Linked DNA regions of Stegostoma tigrinum. Each later gene encodes a partner of the first gene's protein in a complex. Links are inferred from orthologs where the notes say so. Each region holds a gene or a part of one and is shown in the gene's direction. Other genes may lie near its edges. The genes, in order: map3k3 and ccm2.

Region 1 (9,323 bases):
CTACATACAGATTAGGCAAATCAAATTAGTAACAATCTTGTAGAGGAGGAGTTAGTTGAGTGCGCGCAAATTGGTTTTATGGACCAAAACATTGAGGAACCAACTAGAAAACACAATCTTAGGTTGGGTATTGTGTCATGAGCAAGGAATAGTTGCCAAACAAGTTGCACGAGTCCTTGGGGATGCAGTAAAGAAGCGAAATAGTATATTAGACTTCATAGCCAGAACTTTTGATTACAGGAGCAGGGATGTCTTGTTTAATATATAAAGAACCTTAGTGAAACCATGCCTGCAATACTGTACACAGTTTTGGTCTCCGCACCTGAGGAAGGGTGTTCTTGCTATAAAGGAATTGCAGTAAAAGGTTTAGAATTAGAATTAGAATTAGGTTTATTGTCATGTGTACTCAAGTACAGGAGTATACTGAAAATTTAAAATGTCACCCATGATGGCACCATCTAAACTATAAGGTACCAAGGTACAAATCTGAGATACAAAATAGAGAAATAAAAAAAGTTACAATACATAGTGATTCAATGTATAAGTTAGAAACTAAGAAATAAAGTTAAAAGGATGAACATTACAGACAGGTTATAGGTAAACATTATAATGTAGTAGATCGGTGCAGGGGTCTTTCAGATATGGTTTTTTCGGGCTCACAAACCACTGACCATCCGCACCGGTCCCCAGTCCAACAGCCATTCCTGCTCTGCTCCATTACCAGACTGATCCTTGGGATAGCAGGGCCGACATATGAGGAACGGTTGAATCAGTTAGGATTTAATTTACTGGAATTCAGGAGAATGAGAAAGCATCTCATTGCAACCTATAAAATTCTAAACGTACTAGACAGGATAAATGTAGGAATGGTCTTGTGATAGCAGGTCATTGGAACCAGGATATGAGATAGATCATTTAAGACTGAGATGAGAAGAAATTTCCTCACTCAGGCAATGGTGAAACTGTGGGATTTTCTGCAATGAAAACAGTAAAGATCGAAAGATGTGATTTCAAGAAGGAGTTGGAACCAGTTTTTGGGGATCAAAGGTTATGTGGGAAAAGCAGGAACAAACTGATGAGTTGGATGATAAACTATGATCTTAAAACATGGCAGTGCAGCTTCATGGGCCAAATGGTTTACTCCTGCTCGTAATTCCTACATATCTATAACCAACCTAAACCTAATAACCGTTGTTCCATATATGTTCTCTTACCGACACTTGATCCATTGGTCGACTTCATTCACAAGAATTAAATGCAGCAACTTTCTCACTGGAATGAAAATATTCTGTTTTACAATATTGTCCTGAATACACTCTTGAAACTCCTGCTCATCTCTGATTATTTAATTATTTAAATTATTTTAAGATGTACTGTAATAAAAGGTACTACTCCAAAACTTATGTGCACCTCTGTAATTTCCTTGCAAATTTATTCCTGTAAATTCTACCCATCAGCTTGTGGTGAATGGAATACACTGGGCAATGAAAGGGTACCTATATTGTGTTTTCGCTCCACCCAAATAGATTCTGTACTTGAACATTCTGGGATATTGTCTCATTCTAATACTGTAAAACATTATCCTTAATCAACAGTGCTACCTTTCTCATCTATATTTTTCTCGACCACCTTGTTGCAGAGTAATTTACAGCATGGAAGGAGGCCATTCTACTCATTACACTGTTACAAATGAGTGGTTTTTATAAGAATGTTACGCCTATTTGGACTGTGTTGATTAGAGTAAAACGGAGGTAAAAAAGGAACTGACATGATCTGCTTTGGATCCTGCTGCCAGCAAAAGTCATTGGCTTGACTGTTAAAGACATTCAGGTGTTTCTCTGTGAAGACACAAGATGCTCACACTTGCAAACAATGGTAGAAGAATATTTGCTGACAATGGATATACTATTAGTCCCAAATTCCCAAGAAGAATTAAGAGTGTCTGATTTTGAAAATGGTTATACTTTATCTATTGTCTACTTAGTTTCATAACAGAATAAGTTGTTATATCTCAAGGGTATAAAATCAACATGTTTACCTTGATAAATAGGCCCATTGATTTACATTGCTATGGAAATGAGAGGAATTGAGAGGAATAAAATGTACTGGAAGCCATTGTAAGATTGGATTATAAGGTTCTCCTAAAAGTTGCACCTGAATTTCACAGAATGGTTGGCTTGTCAGGACCATAGAGAGAACAGACAGGTAACAGGTTCTTATTATACATTACACAGAGATGCAGGTGAGAGCTTGCTGAAAAGGCCAAATCTTTGAGGACTTACAATGAGGCTAGAAGATTCATCTGCCTTCAATCACAGACAAAATCTCCAGAAAAATCCTGAGCATTAAAGATAGTTCTGAGGTTAAATGTTACTTGACTGGGGCAGGAAAAAAAATGAAAGTAAACCCTGAATAATGAAAAATCTCTTTAGACTGGTTCCAGGTGAATTAAATGCCTACTTAAGGGACAGAATAAAATAATACCATGGAGTGAGAACTTTGTTCATGTGAAAGTAAAAGGGGAAGTTCTCTTCTGCAGTTACCTATAGAAACAGTGTTTAATCAGTGTTGGTTTTAGTTTACTTGTTGCAGTTGAAGTTGCAAAACTTGTCATGTGAGCTTTTAAATTGGACTCAGGGAACGCAAATGTTTTTAAAATGATTATTGTCTTTGTTGGTTCCAGCCAGAGCAATCCTGTCATTTGTACTCCGCTATTCAATTTCCACAGTCTTGCAAGTTGATTTGTCTAAATCTTATCCAATTTCGTCACAGAATCATTATTTACGTCACACTCATAAGAGGCCAGATCCAGGTTACTAACACTCACTGCATAAAATTAATACAAAATGTTTTTCATCACAGTCCCCCTGCGTCTCTTACCCAAAATCCTAAACCCATGTCTCCTATTCCTTGTACTATCAGTTAATTGGTGCTTTCCCTCCTCAACCTTGTCTAAAGTCTTGTACACCTCAAATCTACCTGGTCTCTTTTGCTCCAAGGAGAACAACTCCAGCTGTTCCAAACTAAACTTGGAGCTACAGCCATCATTCCACAGTATCATTCTGGTAAATTTCCTCTGCATCTGCTCAAGGAACATTTTTGCTAAAGCATGGTAACTATAGTTAGATCAATATTCCTGTTAGGACCCAATCAGAGCTTTATCAAGGCTCAACACAACTTTGCTGTCTAAAATTCAACCTGCCACTTTGGTGACCATTCTGATTGTCCGTCAAATGTCCTATTGCAGGCCATTTAAATTATCTTAAGATTTGCCACTCTAAATTTGGTATCATCAATAAATTTTGAAATTTGACTCAGCATTCCAAGACCCAAATCATTTATCAATTGCAAAAACAACACAAAAAACAACAAAGCACTGACACTTGGAAGATATGACGATCTACCACCCTCCAGTCCAAAAAAATTCTTATCCACCATGACTGGCTTTCTGTCCTCAATCCCAACCTTCCATGTTGTCAGCCGTAATTTAGTAATCAGTCTTAAGGTAATTTGTCAAACAAACATTCTTTCAGAAGCATGTTTCCCTTGAATATTTGAACTTACCCTTGTTCTTTGCATCAACATCTATCATCTCATGTGGCTGTGTGTTTTGGTGATCTTGATGTCTTTCACACTGTTTCTGGTTTGCTTCATACTGATTCCAGTCTACTTTAATGATCCTAACATACTTCATAACAATCTTGACCACAACAAGCACTAGGAAGCAAAAGGGATTATGGAAGCAGACAGAGAAGCATGGTTTTAGGAGGGGCACATATACAATGTAATAAAAGCTTAATATCAAATCAGAATTTTTGCAGCACAGAAATTAAATGATGGTGTAAATGACCATGCTACTCTGACATAAGCAAAGCAGAGAAATGATTGAGACTTGAAGAGTGGCAAAAGAGAAACACTACATTAGACAGCTGCATTTCTCCATTATAAGCATGTACCCATGTAAATGAAGAATTTTCAGAATTACTGAGAGTGAGTGAGCATCATTCAAGCTAAAGATACATGGGACACAACAGCAGCAGCAGCAGTCTAACAAGACAGTGCGACCTCTTGACACTAAATGCCCAGCCAACCCAAAGCATGGTTACAACAGAGCTCCCAATAAAGCAGTGTGGAGAAAACAGCAGTTTCTGTGAGCGATAGTTAGAACTGCTGATGCTGGAGTCAGAGATAACACAGTGTGGAGCTGGAGGAACACAGCAGGCCAGGCAACATCTACTACCCTGGTTACAGTGGCTGAACTGAGGTTGAGGCTGTTGCTCTCTCTTCCAAGGTTCCTGCTCTTTAGGCTGACTTTGTCACTGGGGTGTCAACCCCTTTGATTCAAGTGGGCCCTTTAAATATAATTCCATGGACTACACTCAAATACAGTAGCTTACTATTGTTCACAATGTTGACATGTTAACTGACATGTAGATTCCGTTGTAGCTATTAAGCTACAACAGCTTGATACTGTAAGTAATATAATTCAGTTAATCTAGTGAATGTGCTTCTGCCCCCAGAAAGGGTGTTACGAAAGGCAGTATTAGGTATTATAATTTCCCTATTGACTCAGCTGACCCGAAGAGCCGGACAGTCCCAAAAACCGTTCTACTGAAACTTTCGACACACTGTTCTATCCGAAACCTTTCAGCATTGTCTCATCAACACCTATTAAATATAGACAAACAGGAGGCTGGAAGAACACAGCAAGCCAGGCAGCAGCTAGAGGAACAGCAAAGTTGACGTTTCGGGTCGGAACTCTTTTTCGGAAAATAAGGCTGTTTCCGTGGGCTGTATATTCAACTGGCTAACCTCTTCCCACTTAATGCTCCTGAGCAGCCTTCACTCTCCCTCACACCCTTTCTTCTCACCAATCTCACCTCATCTCCCACCGGCACACTCTCTTAAACCTCTCAGCCCCTCTTTTCTCCGCCTTAAACCACTCCGACCTCGCCCCGTTTTACTTCAGCCATTCCTCACGCTTCACCAACTAAACCTCATAAACTCCGCCGTGAAGCCACTTCACGTCCGCGCCTTCCCGCGTTGCGCATGCGCCTGCCTGCCCCGCCCTCGGCCTAGCCCTGCGCATGCGGTGCCGGGCCCGGTGCTCTACGCAGGCGCATCTAGTCACGGCCGCCGGCTTCCGGCACTCTGCGCGTGCGCGGCGGCTGGAGGCCGGAGTTTTTTTGGTTGTTGCTCCGGAAGAGCCGTTCGCTGTCTGGCCCACTGCAGTCCGTTAGTGTACGTCTGGGGGCTGGGGCCCGTCCGATTCGCAACCGCCATGGAGACGGTGGTATCTGCGCGGCGCCGGGGCTAAATTGTGCAGGCAGACAGCGATCGAGGGCGGCGCGGGGCCCAGAGCCCCGAATCAAACTGGAGTCTGTGGAGTAGGCGGCCCAAAGAGGCAAGGCCAAAGACCACCGGGAAGTTCCCAAAACCGGTAGCAAACCGACCACACGATACAAATGCAGGTACACTGAGAGAGTGCACGATATACCGGGCTGTGCGTACTCTGAGCTAGCGCCGAATATCCTGGGACTTGCAGATGGTTCTGCATAATTCAGGTTTGGGGCTGTCTGAGTTACTGGGAACATAAAAACGCAGTTTGCAGTGTTGTCGTACGGTCTGTCAGGGTTATGCAGTTTGTAGCTTCAAATGCATTAAGTTAGTACAAAATACCTTGGGGTATGCAGAATATCCAAATATAAGTTGAAATGGGTTGTTCAATTCAGATCGACTTTAGAATATAACGTTGTAAGTTGGCAGAGCTGGTTTTAAATATGATACCGATCCACTTATACAAAACATAAGACAAAACACATGTGCCAACGAACATTTGCAGAATACTTGGGAATGCATTAGTGCACTTGAGGAGAGATTGCACAGAATGCACTCCTTTGTAGTGTTGAATATAATGAGATACTACATAAGATTAGATTAGGTAGACTACGTGAGATTAACGCAGGTTTATTAAATAAACATACGATGCTAGAACTGTGCGCTGCAGTAAACGTTCCTTTAGTTTCTTTTTACGTTTGCTGTCGGAATGTGGGCAATTTATTGCTCAGCTGCTGCATCAACCTTGAGAAAGTTAGCTGTCTTGAACTGCTGCAATCAATGGAGTGGTGGGGCATATTGATATGCAAGTAGGTTGCCCTTAGTGCTGTTAGGATTGGGGTTTCAGGATTTTAACTCAGTGACAATGATGAGTTAAGCAGTTTAGTCTCAAGTGGGAGAGGTGTACACCTTGGAGGTGAACTTGTAGTCTGTGGTGTTTCATGCACCTGATGGCTTTGTCCTTCCAGGTGATAGAAGTTGGTAGATTAGGACATACAGTAGGAATGTACTGTACTCGGGGCATGGTGATTTGCTGCATTGTAGCTGGTTAGCGATTGCTGCCATACTGTTGCATGTGGTGCCAATCAAGTGGACTGCTTTGTCCTTGATGCTAACAAGGCATTTTTTTTCTGGGAGCTGCATTGATCCAAGCAAATGAAGTGCATTCCATCATATTTTTGACTTGTGCCTTATAGATACAGGACTGGCTTTGGGACGTGAGTTAATCACAGTAGAATTCTCAGCTGCTGACCTCCTGTTGTAGCAACTGCGTTTATATAGCTTGTCCAGTTCAGTCTCTGGTCAATGGTAATCCCAATATGTCAGCTATGTTATATAGGTATTCAGAGTTATATGATTGTAGAATATAACAATGCAGGCTTGTGGTGCCAGTGTATTATAGCCATGCAGCTGATGAAGATATACTGAGACAGTGCAAAAATTCCCTAAAATAGTAAATTGACCATAAAGAATTACCTTGCGATATAACAAGATATGCCATTCACCAGTGCTGCTTCCCACAATAAGATATTTGAGTACAGAACCATTGCAAATATAGTCAAATAGGTTTATAGAATGGATGCAAAATGTTCCTGAATATTTTAACGCAATGTGGAGGTAATATATTAGAATTCATTTTGTATACCTTGGTTTATTACTGTATACAAATGAAGATTCACAGAGCAGTGCAGAACATGCATAATGCTGTAACACAGACAAACAGCTTATTTAAGATATCCAAGACATCTTAAATGCACATTTGCAAAACTGTGACACTTCTAGTGATGTGATCAGTATTGAAGAGAATGAAGATGAACCAAGCTATTCTGATATGACTTTACAGAAGCAATACCGAATTTTACAGACTATTTTAAATATAGAGAATTCCCTATGGGATATGCTCATGTAACTATCCTCCAATGATGTAGCATATACAAAAAAAAAATCCAACATAGGTATGCACACTGACAAGCAGTGTTTTGCCCTGATGTAACTGATCAGAGTTGATGCAAAATTGGATAGATGTAATCATGGAGATATGCTGAATGTATTGTGATATGTTAGACCCAGGGCCACGTACAACATTACACTAATTGAGCAACATAGTGCTACTGCAGAATGAGTTAATTTATTCAGACAACTATTCAATCAAAAAGTTAATAAAAACAAAGGAAGAAAACAGAGTATGAAGTGAATAATAACCATGGATATAAGTCAGATTACTGGAAGTTTTACAAGCATTTAAAAAGGAAGAGAGAAGCTAAACCAAGTGCTAGTCTTTCAGAAGTAGAGACAGGAGAAATCGTTAGGGGGAATGAGGAAATGGTAGAGCCATTTGAATAAGTATTTTGTCTGTCTTCACATTGGAAGGCAAGTTACGTATCAGACTACATTTAGAGGTCAAAATTATTTGGCTACAGAGATCCACCAGCTATGATTTTCCAAAAGTCTGTAGAATGTGGAAATGGTCCCAACAGATAGGAGAAAGTGTTTTAAGTCAGATGATTTGGACATGTTATGATGTACCTTTGGAACAGGTGGGACGTCAAACCTGAACCTTTTGGCCCTGATGCAGGGACACTACCATGGCACCACAAGAGCTGCTCCCAGCAGTTTGAAAGTTAACAAATATATTACTCCTATTTGAGAAAGGAGGGACAGAGAGTTCAAAAAATTGTAGGTCGATTCACCTTAAGCCAGCTATCTGGAAAGTGTTGGAATCTGTTGCGGAATGCATTTCAGAAAGCATGGTGTAATCAGACAAAGCCATCATGGTTTTACAAGGGTGAAAACCAAGTTGAAAATGTAACTAGTGGAGTAAATAAAGGGAATTTAATATAAAATGTAAGGGCCTGGCGTTTAAAATCGAGCACCCTTTAGACCAAGTTCAAGACTACGCTTGATTTTGGATTTTACAGGAATTTGGATTACATGCTGGATTAAATAGGAAAACTAATCATTAACTTTCAATTTTCTAACCTGGCCTAAGGGTGATTAATCTATTGAGGTGAGTAATTTTTCCTAGTCATCAATACAAATTGATAACATTCTTGGTGAGGCAAATTCAGTGTACTTAATCCCTGAATTTATAATCCATGTTTCAGTGTATTAAGTATTAAAATGATTTATTTAAAATACATTGAGTTTGCCATTTTTTGTCTTTTCACTGTACTCTGTGGGTAGAGAGAAAAATATACAGCTGGACTTTGGTACTGACATGCACTTTCTAAAATATATTCAATAAAGTATAACACAAAAGGTTAATATGCTGGACAAAGTCTCAATAAGTTGGGGATAATATTAGCATGAATATAAGATTGTTTAATGGATAGGAAGCAGACAGTATGCATAAACAGGGCATTTTCAAGTTGGCAGGCTTAGACTAGTGATGTACTGAAAGATCAGTGCTGGGACCTCCATTTTTCTGGTCTACGTTAATAGTCAATACATGAATTGATAGAGGTTAATGTAGATTCCAAGTTTACTAGGTGAATTTGTACACTGATGGTGTCAAAGGCTGGAAAGGGCAAGGCTGGTTGAATGAGTGTGCAACAAGTTGAATATTGCAGGCAAATGTGAGTTATCTAGTTTAGTCGTAAGAATGAAAAAGCAGAATTTATTTTAAAGGTGTAAAACTTATCAATGTTGATGTTCAGAAAGGGGCCTGTATTTAATGTCATCTCACAATAACACTCCCTTATGACTGCAGTGGAATATCAGCTTTGATTTTTGTTCTCCAGTCATGGAATGAATCTGAAGCCATAACCTCAGACTCAAAGGGGACCATGCTACCAACTGAGCCGCAGCTGATCAAAGTTTCCTCCCGCACCTTTTAAGAATCAGAAACCTTGGTAAATAGTGTTTTCAGCGCGCTGCCAAGAATCACCTTGGGACTGTATTATAGTGCTGTACAGATCCAAGTTATTGCCTTACCCTCAGCTGCCGCTGCATCCACTCTTCATCTTTGACATCCTATCGCTTTAAGA
Region 2 (8,740 bases), on another chromosome or scaffold:
GATGTGCGGGAAGAGGTGCGGGAAATGCAAGAAATGCAGTCGAGGGCATTTTCGGCCACTGACAAGGGTATGTTGTGGTCCTTGAAATAAGAGGCCATCCGGGAGGTTCGGGAGTGGAACACCCCATCTTGGGAGCAGACACAGCAGAGGCAGAGGAAGTTATTTTCTTTAAAGGATCTTGGAGAAATTACAACAGGCAGATTTCAAGTAAATAATATATTTATTCCTCATATAACAGAGTCCATCAGATGCTAGCCTAACTTTTCAACTCAAGAGAAAACAGTTCTCAATAAGACTTAGATAACAAGGTGTGGAGCTGGATGAACACAGCAGGCCAAGCAGCTGTGTTCATCCAGCTCCACATCTTGCTATCTCAGATTCTCCAGCATCTGCAGTTCCTATTATCTCTCAGTAAGACTTGCATATTCTATGAATATAAACAGATTATAAGGTCAGTCTCCACAAAACTTGTATTTATTTTCCTTTGTTTGCTTTGGCATATTGTCAGTTCAATGTACTTTCCAAGTGTTTCCTAAGTGAAGAGTTTCATTCTGTTAAAGACTTTGTTGAAAAACACCAGTAATACTGTAAATGTTGTTGTAATAAAATGCTAATTTGACTGTAAATGTTTTGTGGCTGGTTAAAAACTAATTTCAAGTGATGCAAAAATGGTGGGACAAAATTCAGACACACACACACAAATAATTTGTATGTTTGCAGAATTGCCTTTGAATAATTTATTTTGTTAATTATTAAAGTGCAAAAATGCCTGTTGAATAATCAAGAACTATCCAAACTACGGAGGAAGTCATTTCTTTTGTCATACTGTGGAGGAGATAATGCAGCGGTTAATGCTTCTGGGCTGGTAATCATAATGGCCAGGTTCTGGGCATTTGTGTTTAGATCACACCATGACACCATAGAATTAATAAATTTGGAGTTAAAAGTTAGCCTTGTGTACTGTTTCTGTGGTGTAGTGGGTGTCACATTTGCTTTACATGTGAAAAGGGTGCTGGTTTGAAACGAGCAGAAATGTTTATGTGAATTACTGGTGTCCCAGTGGAGAGCTGTTGCCTCATTTACTCTCGATGTTCCTTATTACGGCCTTCTTGTGGCACAGTGGGAGCGTCTCTGCCAGAGGTCTGGGTTCAAGTCCCACCTACTCCAAGGGTGTATAACAACATCTCTGAATGGGTTGATTAGAAATATAAGTTGCAAGTTCACCTTATTTTTGCATTGCTCTTAATGGGCTCAGCTCATAAACTGAACAACTGGAAACATTGGTGACATATTGCTGGTGGTTAATATGCAAAATTTGTAGAGGTGATTTGGTAGCAGAAAAATCCTTTTAGTTGTGTGATAGAGGATTGAGAGGCTTGGGTTCAAGACCTATCGGCTCTAGAAGTATGCAATAATGTCTCCAAGCAGGTTTAATAAGAAAAAATAGGCTAAATTTAAAAAAAAATCAGTTGTGTGATCATACTTCTTGATGTAAAGTAAATATGGAACCTAGTTGCTCTATAATAGTGATTTTAAGGAAGTAAATCTGCTTTCCTTATCAATCTGAGATAATGGGAACTGCAGATGCTGGAGAATTCCAAGATAATAAAATGTGAGGCTGGATGAACACAGCAGGCCAAGCAGCATCTCAGGAGCACAAAAGCTGACGTTTCTGGCCTAGACCCTTCATCAGAGAGGGGGATGGGGAGAGGGAACTGGAATAAATAGGGAGAGAAGGGGAGGCGGACCGAAGATGGAGAGTAAAGAAGATAGGTGGAGAGAGTATAGGTGGGGAGGTAGGGAGGGGATAGGTCAGTCCAGGGAAGACGGACAGGTCAAGGAGGTGGGATGAGGTTAGTAGGTAGACGGGGGTGCGGCTTGGGGTGGGAGGAAGGGATGGGTGAGAGGAAGAACCGGTTAGGGAGGCAGAGACAGGTTGGACTGGTTTTGGGATGCAGTGGGTGGGGGTGGAAGAGCTGGGCTGGTTGTGTGGTGCAGTGGGGGGAGGGGACGAACTGGGCTGGTTTAGGGATGCAGTAGGGGAAGGGGAGATTTTGAAACTGGTGAAGTCCACATTGATACCATTAGGCTGCAGGGTTCCCAGGCGGAATATGAGTTGCTGTTCCTGCAACCTTCGGGTGGCATCATTGTGGCAGTGCAGGAGGCCCATATTGGACATGGCATCTAGAGAATGGGAGGGGGAGTGGAAATGGTTTGCGACTGGGAGGTGCAGTTGTTTGTTGCGAACTGAGCGGAGGTGTTCTGCAAAGCAGTCTCCAAGCCTCCGCTTGGTTTCCCCAATGTAGAGGAAGCCGCACCGGGTACAGTGGATGCAGTATACCACATTGGCAGATGTGCAGGTGAACCTCTGCTTAATGTGGAATGTCATCTTGGGGCCTGGGATAGGGGTGAGGGAGGAGGTGTGGGGGCAAGTGTAGCATTTCCTGCGGTTGCAGGGGAAGGTGCCGGGTGTGGTGGGGTTGGAGGGCAGTGTGGAGCGAACAAGGGAGTCACGGAGAGAGTGGTCCCTCCGGAAAGCAGACAGGGGTGGGGATGGAAAAATGTCTTGGGTGGTGGGGTCGGATTGTAAATGGCGAAAGTGTCGGAGGATGATGCGTTGTATCCGGAGGTTGGTAGGGTGATGCGTGAGAACGAGAGGGATCCTCTTAGGGCGGTTGTGGCGGGGGCGGGGTGTGAGGGATGTGTTGCGGGAAATACGGGAGACGCGGTCAAGGGCGTTCTCGATCACTGTGGGGGGAAAGTTGCGGTCCTTGAAGAACTTGGACATCTGGGATGTGCGGGAGTGGAATGTCTTATCGTGGGAGCAGATGCGGCGGAGGCAGAGGAATTGGGAATAGGGGATGGAATTTTTGCAGGAGGGTGGGTGGGAGGAGGTGTATTCTAGGTAGCTGTGGGAGTCGGTGGGCTTGAAATGGACATCAGTTACAAGCTGGTTGCCTGAGATGGAGACTGAGAGGTCCAGGAAGGTGAGGGATGTGCTGGAGATGGCCCAGGTGAACTGAAGGTTGGGGTGGAAGGTGTTGGTGAAGTGGATGAACTGTTCGAGCTCCTCTGGGGAGCAAGAGGCGGCGCCGATACAGTCATCAATGTAACGGAGGAAGAGGTGCGGTTTGGGGCCTGTGTAGGTGCGGAAGAGGGACTGTTCCACGTAACCTACGAAGAGACAGGCATAGCTGGGGCCCATGGCCACCCCCTTAGTCTGTAGGAAGTGGGAGGAGTCAAAAGAGTTGTTGAGGGTGAGGACGAGTTCAGCTAGGCGGACGAGAGTGTCGGTGGAGGGGGACTGGTTGGGCCTGCGGGACAGGAAGAAGCGGAGGGACTTGAGGCCATCTGCATGCGGAATGCAGGTGTATAGGGACTGGACGTCCATGGTGAATATGAGGTGTTGGGGGCCAGGGAATTGGAAGTCCTGGAGGAGGTGGAGGGCGTGGGTGGTGTCACGGACGTAGGTGGGGAGTTCCTGGACCAAAGGGGAGAAAATGGAGTCCAGATAGGTGGAGATGAGTTCGGTGGGGCAGGAGCAGGCTGAGACGATGGGTCGACCAGGGAAGGCAGGTTTGTGGATTTTGGGAAGGAGATAGAAACGGGCCGTGCGGGGTTGGGGAACAATGAGGTTGGAGGCTGTGGGTGGGAGGTCCCCTGAGGTGATGAGGTGAATGGTGTTGGAGATGATGGTTTGGTGCTCGGGTGTGGGGTTATGATCGAGGGGGCGGTAGGAGTTGGTGTCGGAGAGTTGGCGTCTGGCCTCGGCGATGTAGAGGTCAGTGCGCCATACTACCACTGCGCCACCCTTGTCTGCGGGTTTGATGGTGAGGTTGGGGTTGGAGCGGAGGGAGCGGAGGGCTGCCTGTTCTGCAGGGGAGAGGTTGGAGTGGGTGAGAGGGGTGGAGAGGTTGAGGTGGTTAATGTCTCGACGGCAGTTGGAGATGAAGAGGTCGAGGGAGGGTAGGAGGCCTGGGGGTGGTGTCCAGGAGGAGGACTTGTGTTGGAAGCGGGTGAAGGGGTCAGTGGAAGGAGGGTTAGGTTCCCGGTTGAAGAAGTAGGCATGGAGGCGAAGACGGCGGAAAAACTGCTCTATGTCCAAACGTGACTGGTATTCGTTGATGTGTGGTTGTCGGGGGACAAAGGTGAGCCCCTTACTAAGGACTGACCGTTCGTCCTCAGTCAGTGGGAGGTCTGGGGGGATGGACTTCCTTCCTTATCAATCTATATATTTTGGAAGCATAAATTCCTGCAACTTTCTGAAATAAGTCAAAACAGATAAAGTTTACAGAAGTGGATATCAGTTGGAAAAATTCAAATGTCAGTTATTTGTATTATTGGTCTTTTATTCTTAAAAAAATCTAGAATTTGATACAAAATGCTTACGATTAACTAGATTGCACGTAAAATGGAAAAGTTCAACATTTGCTCGCCAACCATCACTTTATTTTTCCTCCTGAAGTAACTGCAAAAAGTGCTAGATGAACTTCACGCAAAATCTTACTGGATTCAAACATGGACTCAGTTTCCCTCTTTACATGTGCCGCAAGCTCTGCTGATCTCCAGCATGCACAGTATTTTGTTGATATTTTTATTTCCTCCTTTTAAGGCCTTTCTTTTGAGACCTATCCCTTTTCGCCAATACAAATGAAACAACGTTTAGTTTTGTGAAAAAGATACACAATTTGCATTCAGATCTGGGTTGTTTTGAAGCTAGAAGTAGAATCTAAATAGTAACTGAGACTGAGTGGGAACGTTCGCTTCTTTTCATCATGGCATAGGGAGACAAGTCTAAATTGTACCATTGTCTTCCTGAAGATGGCGCCCTGAAGACGTTTGGCCACTGCCGGCCTGTAGAAAAACCACGATAACAAAGTGTGAAGCTAGATGAACACAGCAGGCCAAGCAGCATCTCAGGAGCACAAAAGCTGACGTTTCGGACCGAAAAACCACGGCGGGCGTGAAACACACGCTCCCTGCAAGCCGGGGGCGGACCTATCCGCAGCGGATGCCCCCTTGCGGCTGGAAGAAGGAGCGTCGCGCCTTCGTGACGTTTGGAGGAGGCGAAGCGGCGGAAGCCTCATGGCGCCCTGAAAAAGGAGGAAGGTTGGCCGCGGAGGCCCCCTGGCGGTTAGGAGCAGGACCGACGGTTAGGGGCCCCTGGTGGACGGGAGGATGTGTTGCGGCGGAGGCGATAGTCCTCCAGAGCTGACCCAATGTGCGCCGGGAAGACACGCCCAAGATGGCGGCAGGATTGAAAAGTTGCTTTCGGCGGTGTGCGATCTGACCGGGGTGGGTAGGGAGAGTGTGGTTGAGGGAAGTTTGTGTCCAGCCCACACAACGAATGGGCGGCTAGGCCCGGGATTGGAGTGGTTGTCCGATGTCGCTGCCGTAATGTCATTGTGGGCGGGAGTCGGTTCTTTTTCCGCCGTTACCCTGGTTGTAAGGAGTTACCGCTGGTTCTTCAGCTAGAAATGGAGGATGATGCGAAGAAAGGTAAAAAGGTGAGAGTTGTGCGCGGTTTAGTTTGGGGTGATGAAAGATCGGGGGAGACATCCCCCCCAGGGTCGGATCTGGATATCGCTGGTATTGGGTGTGGGTCTGTTGAGCGGCCGGAGGGGTGCTCTAGAGCCTGGGCTTCCTTAGGATTGGGGGCCGAAGTGGCCTGTCATCGCGGGGCTGAGGGAGAAAAGGTAAATATAGCTCCAGCTGACAACGAAATTTGCTGTTTGGCCCAAAAACGGAGGGGGCGGGGTTGCTATGGCTTGTAATTTTGGGGCCGCCTTGTCTTAAAATAGACGAGATTTGTCAAAGGATTTACGTTTCCTCAGTTTTTTTTGGAAACAAATGTATTTCAGATGTAGTTCATTAAACTTCGAGATCGTTGAAGGGCGTTTTGTTACTCCTGTTTGGGTTGGGCTGTTTTTCACCGGTGACTTTTTCTGATGTCCGCTGGGAGCTGGAGGCGGAGGCACTTCAGCGGCTGCTGCTGTTGAAACTACTCGAAAGCCACTCCACGGTGTCTTCCCACCCAGCCCGAAATGTAAACAAATTTTCAGCACGCCCTGCTTCACTTTCCAGTGTCTGCAGTACACTACTTAATAAGAGACAGATATTTGACACCCGATTTTCTTTTTGCCGGGAAGAGTTAGTGTACAGCTGCTGAAATAGCAGCTTGACGGAAAATATTGTGGTCAATGTGTTCTTGTTTCATTTCAGTTGATAACGGTGGCGTTGTAAGTTATAATACAAGTCTACAATCTCATGCGAGAGAAATTTTTGTTTTGTGCAACTTGCTTAGGCAGATGTCCAAAACGTAGTGACTCTGCAAACTTTTTGATCCGAATTGTTATTTCACAGCACTTGCCTGTCAGTGTGGTATGTTATGCTCAATTTTTGTTCTGTGTTTTTAGGAGTTTCTATACGCTATAGAAACAAGCTTTTCCATCAGATCTGGTTATGTTCTCATGTGAGAGCTTTCACTGTATTTGCTTTCCAAGCACTGATAATTCTGTTAGAATCCTAGAAGCCCCACAGTCCTCATCAAATCTGCACCAACCCTCCAAAGAGCGTCCCACGCCAAACCTTCTAGTTTGCCGAACCTGTACATCTTTGGACTGTACGCGGAACCCGCAGCACTCAGTTTGAAAATCCGTAGACACCGAGAACGTGCAAACACCACATGGTTGCCCAAGGCCGAAATAGAATCGAATCTCTGGCATTGAGGCAGTAATGCTAACCACTGAGCCACCAGAGCATTCTAAATCACCAGTTATGTAACTGAACATTTTGCATTCTAGTTAATATATATTTTCACTCGCCTACCCTAAACCTTTGCAACCTTTTTGATTTGTACTTTGCTGTGGTCAGCAGTCTTTTTCTTCCATTGTCAGACTTTCAGATAATACAGTGAAAAATGTCCTAATTTTTCAAGTCATGCTATTTATTTTTGTTCAGATCTAAACTGTGCTCTGTATTGAGTAACTTGGGTGCCCAAAGATGGATGCTGGGTTTCTCACTTGTTAGTTATTTAGTGAATTGCTTCTATGCTTTTGTTATTATGCTCTTGAGATACAAAATCAAGAATTCTGTGAAAGATATCAATTTAAAACAAGAAGTTTTTTTTCTTTCCACTGATGCTGTCTGACAAGTGTTTCCAACACTGGTTGGCCCCAACTGCAGTGTTGTGTGTTTGTCAGATTTTTTTATCCACTCATTGATATGTTTTTAATTACAGTTCTGTGCATCAAGGTCATTCTACTCTAACATTTCACTGGAAACTTTGCTGTGTCAGTTTTTTTTTTGAAAGATATCCGCCTCAATTCTGCAAACTTGGAATCTTATCTCTTTGCTGAATTGCATTACTTACAGCATTCTAAAATCCAAGCAGGTTAGTTTAAGCTTTGCAGTTCATGATGTAACAGCAGTTATCGAGATGTACAGCATGGAAACAGACCCTTCAGTCCAACTTGATCATGCCAACTAATATCCTAAATTAATCCAGTTCCATTTGCCAGCATGTGACCTGTATTCCTCTAAACCTTTCCTATTCATGCATCCATCCAGATGCCTCTTAAATGTTGTAATCATTACTAGCTGCTGCCTCCACCCTGGCACCTCGTTCCACGGTCATGCCACCCTTTATGTGAAAAGGTTGCCCCTTAGGCCCCTTAAATCCTTCCCCTCCCACCTTAAACCTGTGCCCCTCTAGTTTTGGACTCCCTACTCTGGAGAAAAGGCCATGACTATCCTCCTTATGCAAGCCCCTCATGATCTTTTAAACGTGGTATAAGGTCACTGCTCAGCTTTGGCTCCAGCCTATTCAGCCTCTCCCTATAGCTCAAACACCCCAATTCTACCAACCTCCTTTTGAAATCTTTTTCCAACTAACAATTGATAATTTTGTATAGACCAATTAATTAAGCCACAATGCATTTGAACTTTGTCTTAAATTCTTCATGCAGAGGCGTCTTAAAATTTGTAATGGCTGGTCTGCTAGTTTTTATGATTCTTTCAACAGATTCAAACAGAATTGTATGTTCCTAGTAGGTGGCTCTAAATCCTCCATAAGAAGCAGGGGGTGGTGAAATCTGAAGTTCAGCTGTGGTTGTAACTCCTAGTTCTGCATTAACCATCATGGACTTTGCCCTGCGCTGCTGTATGTGATGATACTTTGTAGGTATGCCATTATGGGGAAAACGTTCAATGGAAAATACACCGACGTGAAGCATTTCTTTTGACCCTTAGGTCATTGAGTATGACATTTGGAAGCTAATACTGTCACATTTTAAGGCTTCACAATCATTTAACAGGAATCTCATATGATGTTACACTCTGTCTTCATTGCAAAAACTGCAATTGCAGATGCAATGTTCCATGCTCACTCAGGATAGACAACTGTGTATCTTGACTGAGAGAACCCAAACTGCAGATCTACCAAACTTGCATCTTCTGTGAACCCTTCTATATTTGTAAGACAACATATGCTGGGCAGGAAGAAAGGGTTGCATTGTTTCTGACTCTGCTGTTTCAGGTGTATCCTCAACATCTTGAAAGAGGCAGTCACTGACTCTATTCCTGGAGTATGCAGATGACATTAACATGTTGTTATCACCAGGCCAAGGATGTCTACACGTTTCATCAGGTAGCAAGGCTGTGTACCTAATAGTTTTCTATTGTGACGTGGTCACCTGAGTCATGAAAATGGCAGTCATTACCAGTGACTGACTCTTAAGTG

Evidence for each region.
Region 2: the proteins of map3k3 (region 1) and ccm2 are in contact, whole or in part, in a crystal structure (PDB 4Y5O), measured with the Homo sapiens proteins. The link is inferred for Stegostoma tigrinum from reciprocal best matches to the Homo sapiens genes MAP3K3 and CCM2. Residues at the interface, in NP_002392.2 of Homo sapiens: Asp2, Glu3, Gln4, Ala6, Leu7, Ser9, Ile10, Met11, Asn12, Asp13, Leu14, Val15, Ala16, Leu17, Glu50, Asp82, His84, Met86, Asn88, Glu89, Leu90, Ser91, Ile92, Leu93, Arg117, Leu119, Leu121, Ser122, Gln123, Asp124; in NP_113631.1 of Homo sapiens: Leu299, Tyr302, Met303, Leu306, Arg307, Ser312, Gln313, Ile315, Gln316, Gln317, Phe318, Ala319, Ala320, Leu321, Leu322, His323, Glu324, Arg326, Glu333, Ile336, Asn337, Gln340, Leu341, Leu353, Phe356, Pro358.

What each region holds. Positions count from the first base shown.
Region 1 is NC_081384.1:38,406,342-38,415,664, forward strand, and holds the start of map3k3 (mitogen-activated protein kinase kinase kinase 3), read left to right. Parts: upstream 1-5,169; 5' UTR 5,170-5,471; intron 5,472-9,323. UniProt on the Homo sapiens protein: Component of a protein kinase signal transduction cascade. Mediates activation of the NF-kappa-B, AP1 and DDIT3 transcriptional regulators.
Region 2 is NC_081357.1:77,946,632-77,955,371, reverse strand, and holds the start of ccm2 (cerebral cavernous malformations protein 2 homolog), read left to right. Parts: upstream 1-5,067; 5' UTR 5,068-5,477; coding exon 5,478-5,507; intron 5,508-8,740. UniProt on the Homo sapiens protein: Component of the CCM signaling pathway which is a crucial regulator of heart and vessel formation and integrity. May act through the stabilization of endothelial cell junctions. May function as a scaffold protein for MAP2K3-MAP3K3 signaling.